Regions from separate parts of the Mus musculus genome. Here regions 1, 2, 4, 5, 6 and 7 are each reported to be linked to region 3. The links are microRNA targets in miRTarBase. Many come from high-throughput screens and were not tested one by one. Region 3 holds a microRNA gene; each other region holds the end of a gene's coding sequence.
What was found. The annotated mature microRNA mmu-let-7b-5p reads UGAGGUAGUAGGUUGUGUGGUU and lies in region 3 at 2,928-2,949, opposite strand. An mRNA with a match to its seed (bases 2 to 7 or 8) in the 3' UTR can be bound and repressed. Matches are read on the target gene's strand: a 7mer-m8 pairs with bases 2 to 8, a 7mer-A1 pairs with bases 2 to 7 and ends in A, and an 8mer does both.

Region 1 (4,067 bases), not on the chromosome of region 3:
GGGTAGGAGGAAGAGGTGTCGTTCCCTCCTGGGTAAAGAATGTTCTGTCAGAAACATCTGTCTGAACTGAGCCCTGGAAATGAGAGAGAAACCCCTTCTGGAAATAGGTACATTGATTGGTTGGTTTTAAGGTGAGGGGTTGGGGTTGGGGCTGGGGGTTCTCTGACCTGTGCGATGTTCTACATTGGAAAAACCGTGAGTGCCTCACGACTGTCAGAAAAGCCAGAGGTCATGCTGCCCCAATCTTCAAGGCAGGAGGATCAAAAGTTCAAGGTCATCCTTGGCTACAGAGCGTATCTAGCCTTGGCTACCTGAGACACTGTCTCAAAAGAGGGGCGGGGGATGTGTGGGATTAATTAACCAACCCTAAAGATGCATAGTATTATCATTTCAATTTGTAGCTCGTAAAAAATTTGTGGCCCAAGAAAAATAGTTTTCTATCTTTGGGCCTTCTGTCTCAGAAGCCTGGTATGTATTTGCTTTGAAGCTACATCTCAGTTCCAACCAATCGCATTTGAGGAGCTCCGTGGTCACAAGCAGCCACTGGCTCTTTCACTGGACAGGAGCTACCGACAACCACACAGCCCCCCTTAGTGACTGGGTGGATTGTGGTTTCATGTTATTCTCGCAGTCTGCTTTGTTTCTCTGGAACATTCTTGCCTCCTTGTAGGACTGTGGTCTGGAGCTCAATGACGAGGACGGTCACCGCTGCTATCCACTGGAGGACCACCTGTTCTGTCACTCCTGCCATGTCAAGAGACTGGAGAAAGGACCCTCACCTGCACCCCTCCACCAGCACCACTTCTAGCAAGGAGACACAGTGGAGATACGGGGCCAGCCTGCTGGGGGAAATGTCTGTGTAGCACTTCTGAGCTCCCCCACAGCTGGGGCACAGGAAGAGGAGGGGCAGGAGGTCAAGTTCCTGTGTGTGTGAGTGTGTGTGCGCGTGTGAAGAGGGTATCTTCCTTCTAACCGCAGCAGTGTGCACTCCCCATCCAGTCCATGTGTTTTCAAAGTGCTTTTCTCTATTGCCACACTCTCGCTGAATCACTCAGGAAGATGCTCCAGCTTGCACGTGGCCCCTGACACAAGATGGGGCTTTTGTGACTGGACACATCCTAGTCCCTGGAAAGCAGGTTTTCAGGTTGTGTTGAGCACATTCCACAGTGTCCCTAAAGAGAAACCTTGATAGAGGTGAGCAGCACTTCCTCTGGGCGAGCACCTGCACCCGGATAACCCTCACACAGCCCATGGTGTGACTTAACAGTTCAGTCCACTTCAGAGCTTTAGCTCTTCTGAGAATACTTCAAACACTTGACTGCATTGCAGCTAGAAAGAGGCTCTGCATATGCTTTGTACATTGGAGTTTGCTTGGTGAAGGAGAGCCAAGCTTGGACATCTGGGAGGCTGGGTCTCCCTGCTGTGCCTCTGCCTTTCCTCCTGCACCTAAGACAGTGGGGTTGGGGCAGAGGCTTGCCCTGTCCTATGCAGCCAGCTCAGAGAGAACTGGTGCAGGCGCCAGGCTTCTCGTCCATGCTTGGTGCTGTGTTTTCATTGCTTCCTCCAGTCTGTGACATTGGAGTTGCTTCCTCAAGGTGAGTCTGAGGCTTCCTCATATCCCTGTCACCTTGTTCAACTCATTTGAACATGACCGTTGGGAATCCCAGTCCATATCCTGGGAGAGAGCTACTTCTAAAAGGAAAGTTTTGTGTGTGAGATCTCAGAGCTAGCACCAGAGGGAGTGCCCGAGCTTGTTTCAGCGGACTTGTATCTCTCTGGTCCTCTTCTCAGCACAGACATTTGCTTGGTTTGAGGAAACTAATATAAGGTACACTGCTTTTGTCTGTTTTTTTAAACGTCATTCTTTCTCTCTACCTTTTCCCACACACAAAACATACCTCACAGATAGTTTTCACCAAATCACAGATCAAAGAGGAATTCATCCATCCTATTGGAGACTGTTGGTGTATCAGCAGTGGCCGTTTTCCAACTCTTGAACTACAGCTAAGCAGTACAGTCGCAACACAAGGTCTTCTGAGACTAGCTGCAACTGAAGTCATGAGTTCACTCTGGCCTCATGTGCCTCTGCATGCTGGCTCCCGAGGTTGCCAGGCTAAGATGGAGACCACATGCTGTCAATATTAAGACCACTTCTGAGGTGGATATGTGGACATACCCGTCCTCCCAACATTTGAGAGCCTGAAGTTTGTGAAGAAGGAGTTTAAGGCTGTCCTCAACTACATGAGGTCATGATCTCACTCAAAAAAAAAAAAAAAAAAACTTAAAAGAGAAAGAAAAAAACCCCACCCAGCATTGAAGAACATAATTAACTTTGCCTATCACTTCCCGAGGCCAGAGGTCAGTGTCTCCTTGGAAGTTCAAATGGGTAAAACTGGAAAAACAAAAATGAAATGGGTTTCCATCTGCTGTCTTATCTTCAGGGAGTGTCCCGTGACTTGTGGCAGGAAGGCTGCAGTGTCTTACTTCAGCAGTCAGGCTGGGTACCCAGCAGCTGGCTTGGGTGGTGAAGCAAGGCCGGTAGAGCTCCTGCCACATGTGAATGTGGACTCTTGACTAGGCCTCAGCTAGACCTGGTAGCTACTGCAATCCTGCTGACCTCCATTGCCTATGAGAAGTTCAGAACTAGCACTGTGGATCAGGAGCATCTTTTTCATTTTTATCAGGTTCCTTCTGTTGGGATCCTTTGGCCAGATGTTACTCGTTTCCTGTTCTAGACAGAGGCCCCCTTAAAAAAAAAAAAGCTATGAATGTATGGGGTCACCGAGATAGACCCTGAGACCAGCGCTGTTTTCTCTCTTTGGTTTCCCGGGCTGGCTTTGGCAAGGGTGGCAGGGAAAGGAGAAAACACAATGTCTTTGCCTTCCTGGAGGCTCTGGTAGAGTCTAATTTTGTGTCAAGATGATTGATGAAGATTGCAGTGGAATTAGTGTCTGAGGTAGATGGGATTTGTTTGCAAATTGAATAATTTAAAACTCTGTGATTAATTTTTAAATGAAATTAAATGAAATTCCTGATTGAAGTGATTCAGATCTGTTTGCAAATACTACATTTTATATTATCAAAAAAGCAATAAAGAAATTTGTAGACTTCCCAGAACCCCCAAGACTGTCTTCTTTGACTGTTTGCTGGAGAAGGCACCACTAAGGGTCTCATTGTTTCTCTCTATCTCAGGCCTGTGCAATAAAACATGAAGATATATTCACTTATCTGGGATTTTAAATGTTCTATAAATTTTGGCCAGATAGAGCTGTAAGGAGATTATACTTATAGCTATGTAGGAGGGAACGAAGGGAGGTGGTAGGGATGCTATGCTTTGAAAGTTAGAGCAAATAGCCTTTTCAAGAATCCTGTATAACTCTTGTACCTTGGATAAAAACAAGGAGATGGAGGCAATCTCACTTCCAGGGCTAGCCTCTGCTATCACCCTCCTTATTCTGACCATAGGTTTCAGAAGAGCCTTCAGCCTTAACAAAGTTACTGGCTACATGTTAAGTATGACAGGACTTTCCATCCTTCTTGCTAGTGCCTATGTGAACCCCTTTCAGCTGAGTCCTGTGAGGGTCGAGTGTTGAATCCCAGGAGGCAGGCAAAAGAATCAAAATGTTTTGAATACTTTCAGTACTTCCATGGCTCCGTATGGCCTTCAATCACACAAAATACAAAACGGGATTGTTAAGATTCAGAATCCACAGTCCTTTGCAGGCATTAAATACTGCTCTGAGTACCCTTTTCTCGCTCGGTGAAAGTGCTGTCTACCAGTTAGATCCCTTGCAAAGACTAGTGTGAGACTTGACTCCAAACTCTGGTTGCAGAATACACTTGTAAAACCTCTCAGGCGGAGAGAGAATTCTGTCAGTAAAGTGCTTGCATGAGGACCTGAGCCCAGTTCTCATAATCCATGTAAGAATGCCAGGTGTAGTGGTGTGGGAAAGTGGGGGGCGTGTGACTAGCTTTTGGACGAGAAAAAAAGTTCTGATATGAAGTTGTCTTAGTTAGGGTTTTACTGCTGTGAACAGACATCATGGCCTAAGCAACTCTTATAAGAA
Region 2 (4,067 bases), not on the chromosome of region 3:
TCTTTGACCGGTTGCTCATTTTCTGGTCTGACCGACGGAACCCACATGAGGTGAAGCCAGCCTATGCCACCAGGTATGACCTGTACTTTAGGGATTGTCCAGCTGCTTCCCCTGTGCCAAACATTTCTTAGCTTGTCCCCAGTCCCCAGAGTTGACAGGGGAGTGATGAGATGCTGAGAGGGCCTAAGTGGGACCTGCAAGGGTGGAGGTGTCAGCTGAGGTGGCTCTAGAATGGCAGAAAAGTCATTCTGACTGCCCAATTTTTCAGGTACGCCATCACTGTCTGGTATTTTGATGCCAAGGAACGGGCAGCAGCCAGAGACAAGTATCAGCTAGGTACGTGCTTTCTTCCTTTGTCCTTCCTAGTCCCTGTGTGCTGCCAGGTCCTTAGCCTTTCTTACCCCCTTGGGTGCTGAGAGTGGTTCCCAGGGCCTTTGCCACACTAGGCCAGCACTGCCGCCAGCCCGCTCCCACAGGTCTTTCTCACCAGTCCCTTTGCCCAGTTCTTGCCTACTTTCCTGGTATCCCCTACCTGAGACCCATTTTTTTTTTTTTTCTGTTAATGTTCTCCCCATCTTCGCAGGTTTCTTTTGGCTTCTTTGTCCCTTCCTAGTGATTCACAATTTCTTGTCTTCCTCTCATCCTCAGCATCGGGACAGAAAGGTGTTCAAGTACCAGTATCACAGCCAACTACACCTACCTAATGGCCAGCCCCAGAGCTGCGTGGACCAGCAGCAGCTCCTGCCTCAGTGCCCGCTCCTTTCCTGCCACTGCTGCTGCTTCTGGCTTGCCTCTGTACTGTGTGGTGTGGAGGGCACTAAGTATCACTGAGGAGCAACAAGGAGAGACCTCTGCTGCCCCGTGAGCGAGCGGTGCTGGGTTTTGACCTGGGCAGTGGCCAGTGTGGCTGGCGGTCATGACTGGTGGCTGTGTCTGGTCCGTTGAGTGTAGAGCTGAGAAGAGGCAGGATTTGGGGTTGAGGTGAGTCATGGCCTCTTGCTGGAAAGGTGTGTTGGGGTGTGGGTGTCATCTCACCCTCGTCCCCACTCCTCCGGCCTGGAATGTGAAGTGACTCCCCAGCCCCTTTGGCTGTGGCAGTGTATGGACTGGGCTGCCACTGTCTGGGCAGAGTAGGGTGCCATGACGAGCATGGGTATGGAGGTTCTGCCAGCCAAGAAATAAAAGTTTACCTCAGAGCTGCACACACTTGTATTCCTCTCTGTAAAGAGATTTACACATACAGTTAGGGCAGGTAAGGATATCAGGGCCACTGAGATCACCAGTGAAGCCCAAGCTCAGCGGGCCACCAAGCGGAGCTGGAAGGCTGGGGGCACATTACCCAGACCAGTACACTGTGGGTTAAGGTTGATGTTGGCAGGACTTCCCACAGGGAGCAGGGAGAACTTCTGCAGGATAGCCGTCAGGAAGAGGAAGATCTCGGAACGGGCTAGGCCAGCACCCAGGCACATCCGCTTTCCTGTGGGTGTGGGTGCAGGTGTGGGATGAGCAAGCCCCTGCCAGTCCCCCAGTGCTAGCCACTCAGGTCCCCTCCCTCCTACCCCAGACCTAAGGCAAAGGGCATGAAGGCATCGTTGTTCTGGAACTCGCCATGGTCATCCAGGAAATTGGTGGGATTGAAATGGTCAGGGTCCTTGAATTGGGTGGGATCCCGGTGTGCAGACACAAGTAGGGGAATCACGAATGTGCCCTGTGGGTAAAACAGTGTGACCCACAGACTTGAGTGTGAGCCCCTCACCCAGACTCTTTCTGTTGTTGGCACCTAACACAGGGCCCTGCGGTGCTGGGCAAGTGATCTCACATAGCTACACCCCAGCCCCTAAGGTGGTTGGCAGAGCCTGGGAGGGAGCCCCAGGTACTGGTTGTGTTAGCCCTCACCGAACCTAGTCTCTGAATTGTCCCCTTCTCCCCAGTGCAGAATTCCCAGGCTCCATGTGCACCTTGTGCAGGAAGTGGTTCTTGAGGTTTACGTCTCGGGTGAGGGCCCGGGGCAGCCCCAGTGGTAGCACACTGATGAAACGCTGGATCTCATGTAGCACCGCATTGGTGTAAGGCAAGCGGGCACGGTCCTCTATTCTAGGGGCCCAGGTCCGACCTACAGTGGCGTCCAGCTCCTCTTGCACCTTGGCTGCGGTCATTGGAGGCTTTGAGTTGTGCTTTACTGAGATCCCACCCCAGCCACCCTCTCTTCACTTAGGGGGAGGGGAGGGATGGACCCAGTTCTCAAACCTGCCACCTCAGGGTACTTGAGCATAATGAGGAGCCCATAACGTAGAGTAGTGCTTGTGGTTTCAGTGCCACCAAAGAAAAGATCGTGAGTAGTCATCACCAGTGTCTCATCCTGGAAATGGCTTTCCAGGTCCTGCTGTTCCTGGGAATGGACAGAGGTGCTCTAATGCCTGCTGCTTGGCAGGGTGGGTATGGTTAAGGGTAGCAGGGACTGGTACCTTATCCATTTGGTCGAGGAAACAATCAATGAAGTCACGGGGTTCCCCAGTCTGTCGTGACTGCCAGTGCCACTGAATTTGCTCAGAGATGAAGAGTCGGAGCTCTTGGAAGTTTTTAAATATTCGGTTGTGGGGCCCAGGGATCCAGTCCATGAAGGATGGGAACATATTATATATCTGGAGAGACAGGGTTCTCTCCTTTCCTCTGCTCCACACCTCTCCTCCCCTCCCCTCTCCTTTTCCTTCCTTCCTTCCTTCCTTCCTTCCTTCCTTCCTTCCTTCCTTCCTTCCTTCCTTCCTTCCTTCCTTCCTTCCTTCCTTCCTTCCTCCCTCCCTCCCTCCCTCCCTCCCTCCCTCCTCTCTCTCTCTCTCTCTCTCTCTCTCTCTCTCTCTCTCTCTCTCTCTCTCTCTCTCTCTTATTCCCACTATCCTTGGCTAACCTGGAACTTTATATGTAGACCAGGCTGGCCTCAAATTAGATTCTCCTGCCTCTGCCTTCCCAGTACTGGGATCAAAGGCATGTGCCATCATACCCTGCTGAAATGGTCTTAATAGGGCCCTGGACAAGGCCATGGTTTCTTTGTGGAAAAATTAAATCAGGACTTTGTGTGTTGTAGAACTTTGTCATTAAATCTGTAGCCACTGTAGGTAGGGCTATGCCCCTGGAATTTGGCACAAGGCTGCATGTAAAATGAGAAATTGGAGCCCATCCTCTCACCTCAGCCCATCGGGAACTCATGATACAGAAATTGTCACTGAAGAGGTTTAGGAGCCTCCGGAACTCTGGGTCCCCATAGTCATAGCGCTTTCCGAAAACCACAGTACAAATGACATTGGATACAGCACTATCCAGTAGCTGCTGGGGGTCAAATGGAGCTCCTGGGGGGTGAGAGCAGCTCTGAGTAATCAAGCTGTGGTCCCCTAAAAGTGACATTTAGTAAGATCTGCAGAGGAGACCCTCGTCCTCAAGCCTCTAGCACCCTCACACAGAAGCTGTGTCCCTCCTCCACATAGCTCCATCCATCCCCCCCTTCCCCCCCACCCCCGACCCCAAACCAGGTGGTTATGCTTTCCCTGCCAGACCACACCCATGGTAGCTTGAAATTCATCCAGCACACATGCTGCCTCCTCCAGGATGCGATCCTCAATGGTACTCCTACCCACGCCAAGCTCCCTCAGCACTCCAAGTGCAAAGTTGCGAAGCGAGTGCCAACGCGGCCCGTTAGAAAACACTATGCCTACAGTGGGAACCAAAAAAAAAAAAAAAAAGAGTTGGCCACGCTGGGCCTAGTCGCTCGCTTCCTTGCCGCTCTAAGGATGACTTCTTACTGCTTTGCACTTCCCAGACCATATGCCAAGCACCTCAGCTGAAACCACGCAGCCTGACATCTTTGAGGGTAGGATCCCTGACCAGCTCTTAGGGCTTAGGAATTTAGGCTGCTATTGGTTACATTGTGAACCTCTACTGGACCCCAGGCCTAATAGCTCGTCCTCATTAGCACCATTCTTTATTAGGCACCTCCCATTTTGCTCGGCTTCACTGGTCCTTAGACCAAGTTGAGGGGTCTAGTACTCACTTCCACCCACCCTGGGCCTCACCGT
Region 3 (4,067 bases):
CACACACACACACACACACACACACACACACACACACACACACACCACAAATCCCCCCTGGTATGTGTCTGTCAGGAGTGGTGTAGGCAGATGTGTACAACCTCACAGGGACTCCTGCTGGGTCACTCTGCACAGGATTGGGTATCTTCCTCTTAGGAAGCAGTGAACGTGTGCCTGGGTTCACTCTATGAAACATAGTATGTATTAATACTGATCATCATACTATATGTAGCATTCATTATATATTACATATCTGATATTTGTGTTCAATTTTCTTTATTTTTAAAGGAAGTAAGGCTGTTTAGGGGCACTGACATCCTCGTGGGTCTCAGCTTCAAGCTGCTGGATATAGTTCTGTGACTCCTGAGACCCCCACCTCCGCCCTCCTGCCAGCTACTGCTGGCTCTGCCACTGCTACGGATGTCACCCCCAGGAGACCCTCTATCTCTGGAGAATCATCCCGGGTGGGGCAAGGATGTGCAAGTCTTGCTTCTGTAAGACTCAGCGAGGCTTCTGCATGCTGCCTGGGTTTCCAGCTGATGTGTGGAGCCCAGTTTCCATGTGTTGGGGCCACCCAAGGTCCAGCCTGCTCTCCTCGCTGGTCTTGAACTACCTTGTCCTCAAAGACACTTATGCACATCGTGATAACAGTCCCAGCCTGCCCGGAGGGTTGTATCCTAGGACCTCCAGCCTGCAGCATCTCCTTGGCTCCTGATTAACAACCCCAGGAGTCACTTCTTAGATTAGCCAGCAGGTGGCAGCAGAAGGCCGGCCAGGGACCAGGACCTTCCTGGGTACTTTCCCTGAGGCACAATCTGGGGTGCCCTTGAATCCTGACTCCACCCTCTAAGTGGAAGTGTTTTGCTTCCTTTGTAGGTTGTGGAAGTGGGGAAGTGAGCACAGGGTCTCCCTGGGCTGAACCACTCCCCTGCACCCCAGAACTTCCACTCTGCTGAATGCTGTGTCGTACCCACCCTGATCCCCACATGCACCCCTATCTCTAGTGACAGTCAGTTGTCAGAGAAGAGCCAACAGAATGTAGAGAGGGGCACAGGACATGTCAGAGGTCATCTTCCAGGAAGCTACCCTGACTGCAGAGCACCTCAGAGCTCTCGGATGCTCCCACGCTACCCCACTGGGTGGTCGCCGTGTGTCCTGTCCTGTGTCCCTAGTACTTGAACTCTGCAGAGCAGAGGCCATCTCCCACTGCAGCATAGGAGCCAGGAGGTGGGTGTGACTGGCCAGCATGTCATTCTGCTTGCACAGACACAGCTGGCTGTGGTAGCCAGAGGGTGGGCCTGTGTGAGGGTGAAGGGTTGGGGGCTGGGCTGTGCAGAAGAGTATGGAAGGTAGGCTGTGTGATGGTTTGTATATGCTTGGTCCAGGGAGTGGCACTATTAGGAGGTGTGGCCTTGTTAGGGGAAGTATGTCATTGTGGATATGGGTTTTAAGACCCTCACTCTAGCTCCCTGGAAGCCAGTCTTCTCCTGTTTGCCTTCGGAACAAGATGTAGAACTCTCAGCTCTTCCTATGTCATGGTATTCTTCTGCCATGATGATAATGGACTGAGCCTCTGAACCTGTAAGCCAGCCCCAATTAAATGTTGTCCTTATAGGAGTTGCCTTGGTCATGGCATCTGCTCACAGCAGTAAAACCTTAACTAATTCAGCAAGGGATGAAGAGTGGGCAAAGCTCTGCACAAGGGAGGGGAGGAAGGACTACTCCTCTAGGGCTGGAGGCATAGCAAGAGTCAACAGACTTCACCACTGACTACAGGATAAAGAGAGGTAAAAAGGTGACAATTTATCATCCACCATCGATGTTCCAAAGGACAGCAGGGAGGAGACAATGGGGCATGCCACGGAGTGTCTGAGTGTCCACTCCTGTGTCTCTAGCTGCCAACTCCTATACAGCCATCAAGACCCAGCTCAGATAGCCCCTACTTTGGGAAGCCATCCCTGTTGCTCTCAGAGAGTACTCAGAGAGTCCCTCTGGGTACTCTCAACCCTGGGGCTAGCACAGTATCAGATCTTTGGAAATGGCTGGCTAAGTTTGAGAGGTCTGGTAGCTGAGGGTGGATATAGAGGGGCTCTAGGGGTGTTTGGTCTGCCTAGGTGCGTCAATGGAGGTGTGTGGATATGCAGAGTTGAGGCAGATTGGGTTCAGGACGGGAGCTGGGACTCGGGGGATTCATTATGGGGAGAAGGCCAGGACATCAGGGTCAAGGTATCCACCCACGAGGGAGGCCTTTGGTGTCTGGTCAGGTAAGACTAGGACTTTACCTTCCTAAGCTAACACTAGCTGAGGGCTGACCCTCACCCCACTACCACCACCTGAATGAAGGCTTGGGGTCCCTGGAAGAAGGGTATATGACCATTTGGCCCAAGATTAGAAAGCTACATCCACAGCCGTCCCAATACTGTCCCAAGGGAGGCAGGCACGAAGGGACAATAGGCCAGGAATTTCTCAGATCTGGTTAGGACCACAGGCTGAGGGACACTGGAAGCCAGTACTGTGCTCTGAGACTTGGAGTCATAGGGTCTGTTGTTCCACTCATGTGGAGGGGCTTGGGTGTCCAGGGCTTGGGCCACTAAGGGGCACATGGAAGATGAGGGGAGGGTACTGTTCACTACCCAGAGCAGCTCTTGCTGGCAATGTTTCATGCATGCAAACGTGTCAATGTGTGGTTGGCGATCTCATGTCCTCTACGGCCAGTCTCCGTATTTCCAAAATGACCAAAGACCAGTTGTAAGTTCATGACAGAACATCCTTTATTTATACCCAGGTCCCACGTCATAGCCCCCACCCAATCTGTGGCTCCATTTAGCTTGCTGAGCGGGGGCCTCCATGTAGCTGTGTCCCTGGGCGCCTCAGGGAAGGCAGTAGGTTGTATAGTTATCTTCGGAGGGGCAACATCACTGCCCTGAAACCACACAACCTACTACCTCACCCTGCGGTGTCCGTGTTCTGGAGGAGGCCCAGCCGCTCCCCACCCACCCTGGCCACAGGCCACTAGAGCCATAGGGCACAGGGCGGGGTGGGGGAGGGGGAAGTGGAGACAGAGGTTCAGTGAGAAAGGCCTGTGCCTACCAAACAGATTGAGGAAGCCTCTGGTGTCTGAACCCATTGCCCCAGGGACAGGGGACAGTGGCCTACACGGTCCATCTGCAGGCTGTACTCATGGGTGTGCTAAGAATGGCTCCTTTTCAATTTCTTCTCGGAAGAGACGCTTGCTCGTCAGAGGCCTGACCCTGCGCTGGAAAGCCTGGGCAACTCTGGAACATAGTTGAAGGTCTAGTCCAGACCCTCTTTTCATGGAGACCTGTGAGCACAGGTCTGATATGGGGCCAGGGGCAGGAAGGCCCCTTCAGTGTGGGCCAGGGAGAGAAGGTGCCCTGAAAATGCTGTCTGTTTTCATCGCTATGCCCCAACCCTTATACAGATGAGTAACAGCCCAGAGAGGTCAAGGGACTATCCAAGGTCTCTGTCAGGCTCTTTTTGCATGGTAGTTATCACCCCCCTGTCCCTCCCTCAGTCTCCCCAGCCAGGGCCGCCGTTGTATCCACTGCAGATATTGCGGCCACTTCAGGAAAGACAGTAGATTGTATAGTTACCGCAGAGCGGGGCAGAGCCCAAAACCATACAACCTACTACCTCACCCCAAAGGCCGTCAGTCAGTCTTGGCGTAGAGCTGGATGTTGTGGCTTCTTGAGGTCCCTCCTAGAGGAAGAAGGAGAGCTGGGGACATGGTGAGCCCCACCCCCCACCCCCGACACAGGCCGCTCAGTGCTGAGGGTATTAATAGACTGGGATTTTCTCAAAATGGGCCAGGGACATTTAAACAAAATCACAGAGAGAGTAAGGGGAGACGGGGAGACGGGGAAACGGGGAGAAGAGAGAGAAAGCACGGGGCACTGAGCACAGGAATGGCCACAATGGGGGAAGGGTGTCATTTGTTAAAGGCCACCAAGGTCCAGGGTGCTTCCAGTGTCCACCTGGCTGAGACCCAGCCTCTGTCCACTCAACTCTAGCGTAGTAGAATCACCAGGACTCCTGCTAAGTAGTAG
Region 4 (4,067 bases), not on the chromosome of region 3:
CAGCATCTGGTTTTAATTCCCCAAGACACACTTGCCACCCTGCGATCTACAAGACACGATGAAAGTCATTATTAGGCTACTGGCACCATAGAGAGCCTGGCTTAGAAAAGTTGTTGGGTCTTTTGAAGGTGAGGAGTCTCTCTGCTAGAAGGTAGAGATGAATCTTTATCAAATGCCTTCCAAAACACATAGAACATTCCTACTGGAGTCCCTTCCAGATTCTCTTTAGGAACAAAAATAAACTAATAGGTCATAAGCAGAGGTATTTCCAGACTATTTTTTCCTGGAAAATTGTTAAAAGATAATTATCTATTAATAAAATAAAAGGTCATCCGTATTTATGTAGAAATGTGCCCAAGCCCAGGACTGAGAAGACTGAAGACCCTCATGTGGATGTCAATGTAAAAACCCCACGTTTCTAAAGCAAAGGTATTCTGTTACTAAACTGAAGCCAGCACTGTTTCAAGTACCCGCTGTTCGTTACCTTCATGTTTTATGTCCTTAAACTTACCTAAGAAACCAAAAGTGTCTGACTGCCTGGCATCTTGCTTGTCTCATTGTTTAGTGCAGTAAATGTCAGACTCTGCCTCAATAAATATAGCAGCTACAGAATTATTAATATATGGTATCAATGCCAGTGCTTAGATACTGTAATATAGACATGTAACATGCACACTCTACAGACACATTTGCCATCAAGAATATACATTAAACTCTCAACTCTTCTTAACAAGAGAATCGATTCTATAAGTTGTTCAGATTGACATTTTAGTCAGTTTTATAAGCCATACCATAAAAAACAAAAAAACCCCACAAGCTGACATTCATCAGCTAGGAGCAAGAGTACGGTAGAGGAGAAATGTTACTATGGCTTCATGATGTTTAAACTGAAAGGAACTTAAGAAAAAGATTAGGAATTCTAACCAGAAATGGAAAAATAGTATAAATTTCAAGAAGTATTTTCTATAGGCCTTTTAATCTTAAAATTCTAAGCATAAAGTTTGTTGGCATTAAGTTTGGTATAACAATTTATTAGTAGGCAAAACAGAAATACACTATACATATCCTAAGTTAATTATCTTAAACTAGCAAGACTGAATAATATAAATGCATTCTAAAAAAGAAGCCATTTAAAAGATAAAACCTTATATTTTAGAAAAAAAATTCTTCCCCTTAAAAAATCCTTTTAAATAAGAATTAAAAGTAAGGGCTTCACTCTGGCATGTGTGAGACCAAAGGTCAGGAAAGGGACAGGGCCCATGCGACTCCCTAAAGCTCCTCATGTGAATGTGCAGGGGCTGAAAAACATGTTTACTTCTACTGAGCAAACACAACCCAGGCAAAGACTTTTACCATGGAGCCTGCACCACTCTATTCTTTTGGCCATGCTCCCCGACAGCCAGGCATGATGGAAGGAGCCCAATGGTTCCAACTACCAGAGAGGTTAAGAAGACTGCTGGAGCCCAGGGGTTGGAGGCCAGCATGGGCAATAGAGAGAGACGTTGTCTCCAAAACAAGCAAGCAAACCAACCCACCCCAAATATGTTGTAAGGAGTTTTCTTTTGCCAGGGTTGAGATGGGAATATTTTGGAAGGAGAAAAATGTATAAACCACATGAAAATCCTTTGTAAACAGTAAACAGCTTTAAAACAGTATTGAGAATCGAATTTTAGATACTTCAAGCAATAAAAATATAAAATACAGTACTTTCTTTATGTTCTGGCAAAGGGACAGAAGAATTCATGCCTGTAGGACATGGCTCAGATTTTATATTGAAATGTAGTAAATTGGCTACAATGTGGACTAAAGAGAGCAAATGAAGACATAACTGCATTCCTGTTCATGGCGGGGTGGGGCTTCTGAAAGGCCGACAGTGCATTCCACAAACATCTGTAGTGTCTGTCCTCAGAGCCAGGGTGGGGACAACAGAGAAAACTCACATGCAATGTTCATGACTTACAAAGTGCAAAGTTCCCTGAACCTGCCATTACTGAGACACTCAGCTTTGACAGCTCCAACGTTATTAAGGTTATTGATTAAAGAAGTGGAGAAAACTAAGTTTTTGCAAAGTTTTCACTGTATTTCGGAAATTTTACTAATTTTAAATGACCAAAGTCCTAATTTCCTTCATCATTGCCATCTTATTTTTAAAGAGAAAGTTATACTGGTAAAAAGATAGAAAAAAATCATCCTGTATTTTCTCAATTCCTGTTAGTCAAAGAAGCACAATTCTTCAATAAGTAAGAAAGAATATTTAAATCTTAAGCTGTTCACTGTCATTTTTAAAAACTTAAGTTCAACTATGCTTCTGACCTCACAGCTGAGGCGCCTTTGATCGGTTTTACTCCTTTGGCTAAAATTATTTTAAGGAATTGCTTTAAAACTGAAAATTATGAAGCTCTCCTTCTGAAATTAAGGCTGTATTACTTTGTTCCCTTTAAACTACGGATGTCTGTTCTTCCTGCTATCCACGGTGAGGATGACAGACAGAACTTTCCTGTAAAACTGCTTATTGCACTAAAAGAGAGCAAAAAACTGTCTCCATTCTTAAACACGATTCTAGTTCTAGAAAAGATATAGCCTATATAGTTTATAATTATTAAAGCACTATTCTAATGAACATAAAGGCAAAGGGAGCTATACTTCAATGTGTGTGTGTGTATGTATATATTTATATGTGAGAAAATCACATTAAGGTATAAGGGCAGTGAGTAAACTAGCAAAAAACAAACCAAACCAACCCTAATTCCTTCCTTTTTCCATCCTATCGAGTTTTGGAGGGATTTCCAGGTATAACTCATACAAACAGAGGCTTTAGAACATTTGCACTGATCAGAAAGATGTCCGACAAGGTTTCGTATTTAGAGCAGCTTTAACAAACTCACTACAAAAAAGAATCCCCAGGTTGCCACTGTTTCCAAACACAGTGCACATGTGGTAAATCCAGAGCAAAAGGGAGCAGACGCTCACAAACATGGCGTCAGGAGCTGAGGACTCCTGTGTGAGTGAAAGGAGCTAGGAATAGGGACATAAAGAAAACCAGAAGTCTAATTTGTCAAACCTTCCTTCAAGTGAACCATATGTGTGAACATAGGAATGTCACTTGTAGCTATAGGGACCAAAGTATAGATGCTGAAGGCAAGGGAGACAGTAAAGGAAACGAGTGCGGCCTAAGGAGGGATACAAGGAAAGAGTTCTCCAGGGAAATGAACTATAAGATATACACACAGACACATATACATCAGTAACCTAGATCTAGATACATATGCACATGAAGTAATGTGAGGGTATTGAAAATACAGACTCCTTTACAAGAATAGATGCACATTACTTTTTCTGCACATATAACTGAACAATCATTATTTGTGTAATTGTGTGTTTTTAAACCACCATTCAATTTTTCTTTACTTTTTTGCAGAGATAGTTGTGCTGCTAAGCAACTTGAGGTAAAGGCATTAAAAGGGTTAGACTGTAAGAAGTGAGAATAAACAATGGTGATGCATCTTCTACAGGAGACTGCAAAAAAGCAGCGGCTGGCTCCCTAGTGTACAATGGTGCTGCGTTCTTTGACAGTGTAAACGATTTTCCTTGGATCAACATAAGGACCTGACCTCTACATAGTACTGGCTTCTGTATGGCTGGAGGCCTCCCCAGCAAATTGACTCCATTGGAAACATACATTGTATGTTGATTCACTTTTCATCTCTTTGTCACGGAGAATAAACTTGGACTTGTTAAGCGAAGTACATTGTGCGTAAGGTATCTTGGTGAATCTGTACAGCCTTGGCAAGAGCTTGTGGATCTCGCCCATTGCTCTGTCCTGAAACATGGCTTCCTTCAGCACTGTAAGAGATGGGTTAATGAACACAAACATTCTGCTCCAATATAATAACTCTGAAGAATATTACATATTGTAGGAAATTCCAAAAATACTAGAAAATAGAGACTCATGTAGTAAATTTTGTGTCTATCATTTAGCTTTAATATGGCCAATTGTATTTTAGCTCTTTCATTTTCTCAGGATTAATTAGAAACAAATCCCAGACACCATATCATTTTGTCATATA
Region 5 (4,067 bases), not on the chromosome of region 3:
GAACATAGAGCTCTTTACAATGACGAACACTAAATGTTAGGAGGTTGAAAGAGTTGGTTTGTGTGGTGATTAAAATGTTTAGGTAAAGACAGAGAGAGGAATAGCCTTCTTCCTGGATTCTGAAGCCCACTTCTCAGCTTTTAAGACCTATGGTTTTCTTTTGAAAATCTGATGAAAAGTTAATAGCCCCAGAACCGTGTGTACATGGTCTGGCTGGTGGCAATGCATACTTCTAAAGCAGACCTCTACTACTTGTTTGCAGATTAAGAACTTTCCTAATGTCTGCAAAAACACTTTAGAATCCTAAAATAATATCTACTTGAAATCATGTCTGAAGATGAAAACCATGATTGTTTGTAGCTTTTTAATCAACTGCAGAAAATTTAGTGATGGAGCTCAGTTAGTGACTTGGGAATGAGAAACTGCAGTCCCTGTGACTCAGGACGTGTGCATGAATGCTTTTAAATCTAACCATCCCTTTCTCTGTGTGTCTTTACTAGACGTACGCAGCAGTGCTGTGGCAACAAGCTGAGGACAGCAGACAAAGCTCAACTGGAAAAGCGTGTTTTGGCACCTCTCTCCCAGAAGAAAAACTCAATGACTTTCGTGATGAGCAAATTGGACAGTTGCAAGAGCTGATGCAAGAGGCTACTAAACCCAATAGGCAGTTTAGTATCACTGAGTCTACAAAACCACAGTTGTGATACATGATCTTAACAAAGTGGCTACATTTATAACCTGTTACCTCATCTACCATTGACTCTCTAAAATATATTCTTTCAGCTACAGAATAGTCTCTTATTTTTGGACAGTATGAACAATGCATGATCAAAATCATAAATGACGCACTTGTCATCATTGCAATGACATATTTATTTGCTGTGTGGAATGTAGTTTTATGGAATTTAATTTCTGGACTAAAGAAAGGTGTTAAAAAAGATATACTTTGGGATTATGCTGAAATTTTTTTGTATATGAATTTGTTTTAAATTCTATCCCCATCAAGTGTTAGCCTCCTGATTTGTCTCTAGCTTCATCAGTTAAATAAACATATCATAATAATGGAAGATGTAGAATTCCAATAAGTTTGCTATTAGACATATTGTGATTCTGAAAGTCCCACCATTTCTCCTTTAGTAGTACACACCTGGCTATCACTCAGAATTTCATCTATGAGTCACGTTGAAAGTTTTAAGAAAAGCCTTAAGATTCAATTGTTAAGAATTTCAGTTATTGTCTAAAGGTTGGGGAGATGAAAAATACTAAGTTGGCTCATACATTTAAAAATAAATTATCTATCAAAACCTGCATGTATGTTGGGTGACCTACTGGATACTGATGTGACACAATTTTTGCCAGGCAGCTCGCTCAACTGGTAAAGTGTTTGCTGTGAGAGCATGAGGACCGGAGTTCAGATTTCTAGTACCCACATAAAAAGCAGACATGGAGATGCAGGCTTTAATGAGAAAGCAGAGACAGGCACATCCCCGTGGCTCACCAGCCAGTGTAGCTGAAGCAGTGAATGTCAGGTTCAGTAGGAGATCTGGTCTTGAAAGGAGTAGATCAGAGAGGAAAGATAGGCTCTATAGATTGACTGCCTGTGACACTTGTATAAAGATAGGTTCTCTAGATTGAGAACAACAGAGAAGTGTCTTGTGGAGGATCCAGTGTGGTCTAGGTCAGCAGGCTATTAACCTGCTGGGCAGAGAACAGCTTGTGCATCCCTTCCTGTGAAGGAGCAACCCTGTGTGTTTAACGTTCCACATTTGCCTAGTGCTTATCTGTGAGCACAAGGGTCTTCATACCTCCTAGATTGAACTAAAACCTTATTTCCAACATTCTAACCTGTGTTTCAAAATATATGTGATCTTTCTAATCATATTAAAAAGTAAACTTTTTCTCAATATACTGGATGATATTAACATATACCCAGTTCATCAATTAATCTGCAGTTCAGCTTAGATGTTACATTTCCCTAGAGTCCTCCTCATTATGAATTCTGATAACACCGTCTGGTAGATTGCACAGTAGTCCTAGATCCCAGCCTCTCTTGATAGCCATTTCTGTTGTAAGTAAGTGTGTAACTTCTCTCTCCCTCATCCATCTCGCTGGCCTTGGAACTTGATTTGCTCAAACAAAACAAAACAAAAAACAAACAAACAAACAAACCAAAAACCCCAATGTATGGTCCAGACTTTAAAGCCTGGCACATTTCCACCCTTGCATTAGAAACTTGCTTTCCTGGCTGCCACATGGGCTACCCACCAGAGGACCCATGCCCGTGAGGGAGACTGGACCACCCAGCTCAGCCAGCAGCAGATCCATAAATAAGACTACTGAAATTTCGCTTTACAAAGACATTTTGAGACATGGAAAAATCTCTGGTGTTACTAGTAACCAAGAAAAGATGCTTTGAAATAGAATTTTCATAAAGCATTAGGTTGTCTTTTCAGTAACATGGTGGACTCTATACAGGTAATCACCTTTCCTACTAGAAACTCAAACTTTTAGGTGGAATAGAAAGAAACACTCGAGTTGCCGGTATCCTAAGGGATGAAGGGACTTGAAAGTCAACTTCTACAAGTAGAAAGCTGAAGCTTCTGCACAAGTGTGTTGCAGGTTTGATTTTGATTGTCCCTGAACACAGTGTATGCCAAACACAAAGCTCAGAGCCCACCTGAAGTGGAAGATCTCAAGGAAATCGTTTTTCCTTGAAGCCAGTACCATTATAACCGTACACTAATGGTTAGAGTAAGGAAGAAGAAAACCTTCTGAATACTTGGGCAGTGATGCAGGCCATTGCAAATTCAATGGCTAAAACAAAACGTTTATGCTATAAAGTTTGTGTAAAGTGGTCTCCAATAAGTACTTGAGAAATGTAAACCATTTGGGAAGACACCAGATCCACAAATAATTGTCCTAGGGAATGTCATAAGTTTACATAAACTCACAAGGTAAATTAAACCCATAAATAACTGAGACAGACCACAAGGAAGTTCAGGTGTTGGGACTAACACATGTGCAATACAGAACAAAACATTTGCAAATAAGAGGTAGTTAAACTGTCTGTCGGAAATAAAGCATCACACGTTTGAAAGACCAAAATAGAACTCAGAGAAATAGGAAGGGATTAAAAAAAATCCTCAGTGGACAGGCTTTATAGTTTGGGAGGGCCTTAAATTATTAAAATTCAGGACAAAAGATGCAGAGGCTATGGCACATGAAAGCATGATTGTTCATCAACAACAGTCTAACATATATCTAGACTGTGAAATACTGAGTCAGACCATAGGAAATACCCAAAAAATAACTTCCCCAACATAATATTTTTATTATTTTTGAATTTCATATCATACATCCCAATCACACTCACTTCCTAATCCTCCTAGGTCCACCCCTACCCTTGTGATGCCCCCCAGAAAAGAAAGAATACCAATTTATTTTGCCCACATACTGGTACATGATCAAACTCCCAGTGGCCAGTCCCTTAAAGAAAACAGTCCTTCCCCACCTGCACGCTGCCAGAAGGCATCAGTTCTAGAGAGTTAGGCTTCAGCATCCTTACCACATTTACAACAGTTATCTTTGATAGTTTCCTGTTCAGGCTCTTATTGTTTCAGGGGTATGCAGAGAAGGGTTGTCACAAAAACCTATGTCTCTTCTCAACTATGCATCTGCAGTCATTGATACCACTGCAAATGTCACTTCTTTGCCCTTTACAGTCAACAGGAGCACAGATCATGGACTTCCACATGGTTTTTAGTGACAGCATGGACCACAGACCAGACGAAAGTCTAGATAACCTTCAAAAGAGTTATCAGTGAGTACAGGCCAAGTCCTGGAACAGTCCTGGTGGCCCAACTCATTGCCTCCTTTCTTTCTCCTTTATAGTTCTCAGAAAGTGTTTGGAATCTATTGGTGATGCAAATCTTGAAACAAAAGGATACATTTAGAGCAGCCTGGCTCCTCTTTCTATCCCTCCTGGAACAGGATGTCTTTCACCATGGTGGCTCAACACAGATCAGGTCACCCTTAGGATCTGAATTCCACAGTGAACTTTCTCTGGA
Region 6 (4,067 bases), not on the chromosome of region 3:
CTACTGGCTGTGTCTTGTTCTCAGTTAATAGGAGGCTTCCTGGACCCATATACAGCAACAATGTGTATCAGAAAACTTATATTGAAGTTAAAAAAAAAAGCTTTTCTATGAGCAGCATCTAGTATCGTTAGCTCTTTAATAATTGGTTTCTTCATTTCTTCTAGAAGTAGGATAAAATGGTATTAAAATCTCAAGTTAGTCAAGATTTTCATATCGTTAAGGACGTCTGGAAAGGAAGGCAACAGTGACTGGGGATAAATATGTTGCTAACATGTTATCTATAGCACAATTCAAGTTTATTCCATTTGTTCTTGCAACACGAAACTTAAACACAGTATTAGTTAGCATTCGGATGTACATGAACTAGGATACTTATGAGAAACCCAACTGTGTCAAGGGAATGACATTGTGGAAACATGAACTCAAATATACCAAAAGTGCACAAAGCACTAGTCTTCCTCCATACTGCTTAGAAAGATTGTTTCTCCATTTACAAAATAGAATCAGGACAATTTAAATTTTTTTAAATTTGCATGCAAAACACTGCAATTGCTTATTTATGAAGGAGGGCACTCTTACCAGCTTCTTCTATACACAACCCAGTATACAATATTACATGAAGGAAACAGCAGCTCAGCTGAAGTGAATAAAAATCAAGTACACATATATTGAAGCTCCTTTTATCTGGCTGGGGAAAGAAAGAAATGACTAGAAGGCTACTTGTTTTAGCTTTCACATGCTGCAGTTACTGCCTTTCTTCTGCGCCCAGCTGGTTCTGGAAAGGTGAGCTTGTGCACATGGGATATGCAAGTGCTGTGTTAGAACTCAAATCTACATATGCTGGCATGAAGCTGGGGGTGAGGGTAGGGGTGGGCAGACCTGTTAGTACACTAACCATGTTCAGGCAAGTAACCTGTTTTTGATACAGTGCATATGAAATGATGGATTTTAATATAAAACTATAGAACATGCAGGGTTTTTTTCTGAGATGTTAAATAGTACTTCAGTGGAAAACAAAACTTAACCTTTTATTAATGCGTGTTGTACCAAAAGCAGACATTTTAGCTTCATTTATTCAAAAATATTAACATTAAGTGTCATGAATTTCTCTGCCAAGTGGTTCAGAAATACATTATAAATAACCTAGTTTTTTTTTTGTTTATTTTTGTTTATTATTTTTTTAAAGAAACTGTAAACCATCCTGGTCAGTCTATCCTAGTCTATGTTTATATGCTATTTTCTCAAGCAATCACTTCATAGCTATGGGTTTACAAAATGGCCAACAAAGGGGGAAGGCAAAATAGCCTCTACTGCATTACAAGGAACACTGGGATAAACTGTACAAAGAATCATATGGTTTTGGTACCATAATGACTGTAGAAAGCAGACCCAAGTTCTGGAATGATAAGACAATATACACTCTGCAATAGCCAACTATAACAGAAGACTTTGAAAGAAAAATTGAAAATTGTGTAAAGGGTAAAATTCAAGCCTTTAAAATAGTATGCCAAGAGGTGAAAACAAAGGTCTCAAAACACCCTGTTGCATTATATTGACTCATAGACTGATCATGTGCCTTCCACTTCCTAGCAGAATGTCCAACTCTATAGCTGCTTGGCCTTTTGGTTAAGATTAAGTGTAGGATATCCAACTCTAGTAGGCTGCATTAAAACAGCAGAGCTAGCCAAATATATCAAAGTATTTAAACTACTGTTTTGTGATTGTTTTCTTGGACATAGAAAAACTACAGGGGCAGGCTAGTTGAAAGTGAAAAAGCCACAGGATAAAAAAGAGTTCATGGGAGAACACACACACACACACACACACACACACACACACACACACACACCCCAACCAATTATCAACTGATTAATAGTTATTAGCCAGGCTGATTGTTCTTAGTAATAGTTTAACCCTGCTATATAATGCTACAATGCCTTAAAAAAAATCAGTTAGGTTTTTAATATTATTATCCCTAATGTGATTATAAGTCCCTATCCCATCACCTACCCTTTAAAAATTTGAGGTACATTCAATTATTGCATGATTGGCTATGGAAAGATTCTAATAGTTTTTGTAATCCTGTATAGATGGCAAATTAAAAGCAAAAGACATCTTAATACTTAAAGTGTAGGCCATCAAATTTAAGGTTGTATGTTTTAATTCATTTTATTGTTCATGAAAGAAAAAGTTAGAGATAAGTTTCTCTTATCTGCAGGTCCTAGGAATACCGTTTTAGGGCACTGTATTATAAGAACACAGAATGCATTTTGAAGTTGTCACATGTATGCAAAGAATGATTGTTAAGATAAAAACACCATGCAGGTGGGGTGGTACTGGCCCAGCAAGAGTCTATTACCAGCTCAGGAGAACATGGTAACAAGAATGTTTTTGAAGGGATGAGGTCCCATCTGTCCAAATACAGTACATCTCACCCCAGTGATACCTTTGGTGCACTATAAAATCAGCATCCATGGTGGGTTTTTGAGAGGCATTCCAAAGAATATTCTTCATTCTCCAAACACAACGAAGGCTGGCTCACTCAAATAGCAAATGAAGAAACTCCATAGGTACTAAGACAACTGTTCTCTCTTTATAAGATACTAACACGCTTATGGCTATGATTTTATTTTTAAATCTCCTTTACTACCAGAAGGAGTCTCAAAGTGTTTCAATGTTATATAAATGTCTGAGTCTAAAGGAGAAAAAAAGAAATAAGCCTACTGGAATGATTCCTCCTTTAGGCTCCTAGAATTTAACATTTTATAAATAAAACTAGTCAGTTTTATCTAAAGAGACATGAAATTGATGTGAAAGGGGAGAGAAAATCCAAAGTTTAGTCATCCAGCAATTCAGGAGTGCGCTGCTCCTTACCTTATCTAAGCTCTTATGTAAAGATTAACGTCATTCTAGAGAGATTTTGGTCACTAACCGCTCTTAACTAGCCAGGAGCCCCCAGGAGAGTGCATTCTTAAGGCAGAAGGCTATAGCTAATTGCTTATCTCAGCACCCTATGTTGACATAACAGCAGCCACTACTGCTCACAGCTAGGGCTACCAAATAAGTAGAGTTGGCCTTGTATAGTCAGACCTTCAATAAACTAATTAATAAATTAGCTAGGGAGCTGAGAAGGTCCAATGATTCCAATAGACTGTATTTTTGCTCTCCCTTGGGAATAAGCTGTATATTTTACTGGAAATGAAAAACAGGCTGGTTTGATCAGGAATCCCAGTAAAAGTCTCATCACATTCCCCACTGCTCCTCCAAAACATGTTTTATTCCCCTCCCCTGGCAGTCTGATTTGTTATGAATTTCTCTCTCCCTTCACCCTCTTAAAGTATTTAGCTGAAGAAGCTGGCAGATAGAAAGTGACAGACAGACAGGCAGCAGTGTGAGGCCACAGGAGAGTCATCCTTCCCAAGTTATCAGTCCGTCCATCCATCTATCACTGGAGAAGAGCTTTGATTGCCTGGTTGTCAGTGGCTTCAAGGGCGGTCAGTCCATCTGGGCCTTTCACAGTCTTATCAGCACCCTGAAAAAGAGAGGAGAGAACCTTCTTTAACTGAACTTACACTAGGGAACAGCAAGTGCCAGAGGTGGCTATGTGGCATAGGCCTTTTTTATACTCTGATTCCTAGAATCCATGGTGGAAGGCCTGAACCAACTCTGGACAGTTGTCTTCTGTCCTTCATACTGAGCTATAACACATACATGGCTATACTCACATACATACAATAATAAGATAAAAATATTTTAAAATGCATTTTTTTGGTGTTAGAAATTATAAGAAACAAAACAACTGTCTTAATTACTGTTTTGTTGCTGTAAAGAAACACCATGACCAAGGCAACTTATAGAAAAAAGCATCTAATTGGGGGCTTGCTTAAAGTTTTAGAGAGGTAGTCAATGACCATTATGGTAGGAAGGAATGAGAGCAGGCATGACACTAGAGGAGTAGCTGAGAGCTTACATCTGATTCATAAATCCAGATTGAGAGATTGGGAATGGTGTAGGTTTTGGAAATCTCAAAGCCCAACTGCAGTGACACATCTCCTCCAAGGTTACAC
Region 7 (4,067 bases), not on the chromosome of region 3:
GCTTGCTGCTTCTTTGCCTGCTTGCACTTACCTGCCAGCACATCTGTTGGAGCCTAGTTCTTCAGGATTCCAGCTTATACAAAAGACCAGCTGAAACACCCAGCCTCATGGGACTGAGCAACTACTAGACTCTTGGACTTCCCATTCACAGCTGCCCATTGTTGGTTAGTTGGATTGCAGCCTGAGTCATTCCAATAAATTCCCATAATATATAGAGACATTCCATAAGTTCTGTGACTCTAGAGAACCCTGACAAGATACCACCCAAGTCTTTATATCACTGCTTGTCTGGACACTGTTGTGACAGTCTGGGTGGTAAAACAAGCTGGGAACAGTTTTCCTGTAGGCGAAGCTCCCATGTCTTCTGTGCTCTGTCCCAGTTGTTACTCTGAGGTGGGGGTAACGGGCATTCCTCCTCAGGGCTGGCTGTTATTCTCTCTCTGGGGCTCCAGTTAAGCTCTGTCTGACAGATGGTCGCTACTGAGAGGACTGCATTGATCCTAATTTTCTTCTTTCATGGTCATCTTTTTGCTTTGTTTTCCAAGAGTGAGAATTTTGTAAGCTTTTCTTACGTTTCAAACTGTTTTTCTTAGTTCCTGTGTTCAGTTCTTATATTTTCTTCTCTTTAAGTTTTGCATTTGTTTATATGTAAGTAGCCTAACAGCATCTAATTAAACAAAAACTCATAATGAATTTATTTTATTTTGTGTGTGTAGGGGGGGAGGTAATAGGAAGCACTCAGGGGCTTTAACTGATATTGAACCAGAGGCCAGAGAATAAAGCAAAAGTACAGAGTCCTTCATCTGGGGTGGGGAGAGGTGGAGGGTGAAATTTTGTTTTTGCACAAAAACCCAGGCCTCTCTGTAGAGGGTGTGCAGGCCATCTGCAGGCACAGCAGAGCCCCTAAGGGGCACAGCCTGAGACTCCTGTGGTCTGGCCTCTCTGTCCTGGCCCAAGATTGGGCCCTGTTTTATTCTCTTTACTATATAAATAGAATTTCATAATGAATTTATTTAATAAAACAATCAAGCTGGAAGGGTGGCTCAGGGATGAACAGTTGCTGATCTTGCAGAGGATCTGGGCTTCTTTTCTAGCACCCGTATGGCAAGATTTACAATAGCCTGAGACTCCAGTTCCAGAGGATCTGACCACCTCTTTTGGTACTAGGCACCCACGTGATTCACATACATTCATGTAGGTACTCATAGGCATAAAATAAAAAGTTTAAAATAGAAAGTAAAAAAAGTGAAGGTGCATTCTATATTGCACAGTGATCTCACCCATTGCAGAGACGCAAGAACCATAAAAATAATTTTTAATTATTTATTTTTATTACGTGCGCTGGTGTCTTGCCTTGGTCTGTGTGAGGGTGTCAGATCTTGGGAGCTACAGACAGTTGTGAGTTACCATGTGGATGCTGGGAATTGACCCTCATCCTATGGAAGAGCAGTCGGTGCTCAACCACTGAGCCAGCTCTCCAGCCCCTGTAAAAATAGTTTAATGGAAAAGGAAGCCAGATGTGGTGGCTCACACCTCTAAACCCAGAATTCAGAACGTTGATGCAGGAATGTCAACGAAAGTTCAAAGCCATCTTGAGTTACATAGCTCCAGATCAGTTGGACCTGCTGTCTCCACCAAAATAGTTTTTTAGAGGAAGAACAAAGATGTTATGATTACAAATACAGCAAGCAGAAGAAGCTACAATGAGGGGCCATTGAGACAGCCCAGCAAGTAAAGATACCCACTGTCAAACCTGCTGACCTCAGTTCAATTCCAGGTCCCTCCACGTGGGAAAAAACAAGTTACCCTCTGACCTCCACACATGTGCTATGGTACAGGTATGCCTCTCCCACCAACACAAAAGGAAAATTAATCTTTAGAAAAATTTAGTGCTCTTTATGTGTGCTCAACAATCTCTGCCTAAATCCTTTATAGTAACATTAAAATATAAAAATAAATCTACTCAAAAGACATGAACAAGCCGGGCGTGGCAGCGCACCCCTTTAATCCCAGCACTCGGGAGGCAGAGGCAGGCGGATTTCTGAGTTCGAGGCCAGCCTGGTCTACAGAGTGAGTTCCAGGGCAGCCAGGGCTACACAGAGAAACACTGTCTTGGAAAAAAAAAACAACAAAAAACAAACAAACAAACAAACAAACAAACAAAAAGACATGATCTTTGTCAGAAAAAAAAAGCTTTATTGAAAATATTGAAGGCTGGCATGGTGGTGCACATATTTAATCTCATTGCTTAGGAGGCAGAGTTTGAGGCCAATCTGGTCTAAATAGTAATTTCTAGGCTAACCACAGCTACAAAGTGAGACCCTGTCTCAAAAGTAAAACTATTCATTGAGGAGATAAACCATGTTCGTGATCTGAAAGGTTGACTTCACAGACGCTTACTTTCTACAAGCTAACACGGTCTACTGGATCCCGCTTATTTCAAGGTGGGCTTTCATTGGTGAGATCTGAGGAGCTGATTCTCAGACTGGTATGGAAGAGCAAGGGCTCCTAGGGCGTGATTCCCACTACGTGGGGGGAGTGTACATGGGGTCGGGGTGAGGTAGGAAAATGACCAGTGGAAGAAAATAAAAAAGATTTGGTTAAGGTATATTCAGATCTCCATGTGGAAGAGAAAAAGAGGACCATATCACTACATGCAGTAATTTGGACACATCTCAGAAACAATATCTTGTTGCCAATGGTACCCACACATTACATGTCCATGCATACACCATGCTCTCTCTCTCGCTCTCTCTCTCTCTCTCTCACACACACACACACACACACACACAAACAAATGTTAAAATTACCCTTCATGAACTCTGGAGTGCTTGGAAGCTAGTTATTTTGGCCCTGATGTTCCTTTTTCACTTCAGCTGTGCAAAAGTAAAGCAGATTCAAAGACCAAAGACCAAAGACCAGGCCTCTCTGTGAAGGGTGTGCAAGGCCATCTACAGCCACAGCAGAGCCCCCAAGGGACACAGCCTGAGACTCCTGTGGTCTGGTCTCTCTGTCCAGGCCTAAGATTGGGTCCTTTTTAATTCTCTTTACAATAATAAATAGAATTTCATAATGAATTTATTTAATAAAACAATCTAGCTGGAAGGGTTCAAATCTAATCTCTTAGGCCAGTCATGGTGGCAAATGTCTTTCATCCTAGCACTCAGAAAGGAGAAGCCAGTGGACTTCCTTGAGTTTGAGGCCAGTAAGGTCTACATTTCTACCAGCAATCTTGTCACATGGCCTAGCAGGGCTTTTCTATTTCTTACAGAACAAAGATTCTAACTGTGGTCCCGCATACGGGTGAGCTGCTAGAGCTCCCTCACCCCCTGCTGTAGACATGTTTCTAGTGCTAATCTCTAGAGCACGTCTGGACTCTCCTTGCCTGGATCCCACCACACCCTTCCAGGGCCAGAGGTGGCAGAGCCCTGGCCCATTGGGATCTCAGGCCTTCTGTAGTCTCCAGGCCTGACATGGGACCTGGGAAACAGCAACCAAAACAACAAAGTGAGGTATAGGAACCCAGCAAAGATGGAGGAGGCCAAGAACCAGGTTGGCACTTTACTACCCTGCAGAGGGGCAGTCGGTCAGGCCAAGTAGCCCCCTTGCTAGACCATCCTCTGCCAAAAGGGCCAACTACAGAGATAGAAGAGCCCACATTGGGCAGGTTCAAAGAAGGAGCTAAAGCTGCCCACTACACACATGAAGGGGCAATCGGGCCTTCCTCCTGCGGCTGGCATGAAGCTAAAAAGTTCTCAGTTCGATCCTCTGCCCTGTTCAGTTCTGGCTCTACCTGGACTCAGGAAGTCACAAGACCCACATCACCTGGAGTCTGGAAAGAGATCCCATCTCCAGGCAAAGGAGAGGCTAGAAAAGGCCAGAACCAGACTAGGGCCCAGCGAGGCCCCAGGGCTGCCTGCAGGTTGTGGCAGGTGCCCAGGTCATAGCAGTGGTGACCCCGAGCCCACTCCCAGGTGGTCTGTCCCCGAAGCAGCAGCATCCCATGGAAAAGCAGCCCAGCACCACACAACAGTGCACCTGCCACACACGTGTCCACCACAAAGGCC

Region 1: miRTarBase lists Limd1 as a target of mmu-let-7b-5p. Seed matches in the 3' UTR shown: 7mer-A1 at 1,896-1,902.
Region 2: the mRNA of Egln2 is a reported target of mmu-let-7b-5p. Seed matches in the 3' UTR shown: 7mer-A1 at 1,188-1,194.
Region 4: the mRNA of Ago3 is a reported target of mmu-let-7b-5p. Seed matches in the 3' UTR shown: 7mer-A1 at 3,443-3,449.
Region 5: miRTarBase lists Sdhaf3 as a target of mmu-let-7b-5p. Seed matches in the 3' UTR shown: 7mer-A1 at 743-749.
Region 6: the mRNA of Mtpn is a reported target of mmu-let-7b-5p. Seed matches in the 3' UTR shown: 7mer-A1 at 2,023-2,029.
Region 7: the mRNA of Zdhhc24 is a reported target of mmu-let-7b-5p. Seed matches in the 3' UTR shown: 7mer-A1 at 3,509-3,515 and 8mer at 2,557-2,564.

The regions. Positions count from the first base shown.
Region 1 is chr9:123,518,436-123,522,502 of GRCm38, forward strand. It overlaps Limd1 (LIM domains containing 1), which reads left to right. Exons shown (of 8, transcript NM_013860.2): 8 at 671-3,117. The coding sequence ends at 808. Among named protein-coding and RNA genes, the nearest start is that of n-TRacg2, 9.0 kb to the right of the region's middle.
Region 2 is chr7:27,155,793-27,159,859 of GRCm38, reverse strand. Egln2 (egl-9 family hypoxia-inducible factor 2) reads left to right here. Exons shown (of 6, transcript NM_053208.4): 4 at 1-73; 5 at 269-336; 6 at 649-1,202. The coding sequence ends at 704. It overlaps Cyp2t4 (cytochrome P450, family 2, subfamily t, polypeptide 4), which reads right to left. Exons shown (of 10, transcript NM_001100184.1): 3 at 4,065-4,067; 4 at 3,554-3,703; 5 at 3,184-3,344; 6 at 2,466-2,642; 7 at 2,248-2,389; 8 at 1,959-2,146; 9 at 1,567-1,708; 10 at 1,296-1,477. The coding sequence ends at 1,296. Among named protein-coding and RNA genes, the nearest start is that of Cyp2t4, 4.1 kb to the right of the region's middle.
Region 3 is chr15:85,706,207-85,710,273 of GRCm38, reverse strand. Mirlet7b (microRNA let7b) reads right to left here and starts at 2,955; the gene lies at 2,871-2,955. It overlaps Lncppara (long noncoding RNA near Ppara), which reads right to left. Exons shown (of 2, transcript NR_110483.1): 2 at 2,750-3,720. Mirlet7c-2 (microRNA let7c-2) reads right to left here and starts at 3,671; the gene lies at 3,577-3,671. It overlaps Gm34622 (a long non-coding RNA gene), which reads left to right. Exons shown (of 3, transcript XR_384306.3): 3 at 289-1,403.
Region 4 is chr4:126,341,740-126,345,806 of GRCm38, forward strand. Ago3 (argonaute RISC catalytic subunit 3) reads right to left here. Exons shown (of 19, transcript NM_153402.2): 19 at 1-3,843. The coding sequence ends at 3,735. Among named protein-coding and RNA genes, the nearest start is that of Tekt2, 18 kb to the left of the region's middle.
Region 5 is chr6:7,038,354-7,042,420 of GRCm38, forward strand. Sdhaf3 (succinate dehydrogenase complex assembly factor 3) reads left to right here. Exons shown (of 2, transcript NM_001077713.1): 2 at 501-867. The coding sequence ends at 704. Among named protein-coding and RNA genes, the nearest start is that of Sdhaf3, 84 kb to the left of the region's middle.
Region 6 is chr6:35,508,786-35,512,852 of GRCm38, forward strand. It overlaps Mtpn (myotrophin), which reads right to left. Exons shown (of 4, transcript NM_008098.4): 4 at 39-3,532. The coding sequence ends at 3,446. Among named protein-coding and RNA genes, the nearest start is that of Mtpn, 29 kb to the right of the region's middle.
Region 7 is chr19:4,883,504-4,887,570 of GRCm38, reverse strand. It overlaps Zdhhc24 (zinc finger, DHHC domain containing 24), which reads right to left. Exons shown (of 3, transcript NM_027476.3): 3 at 2,174-4,067. The coding sequence ends at 3,800. Bbs1 (Bardet-Biedl syndrome 1 (human)) reads left to right here. Exons shown (of 17, transcript NM_001033128.3): 17 at 1-689. Among named protein-coding and RNA genes, the nearest start is that of Zdhhc24, 6.9 kb to the right of the region's middle.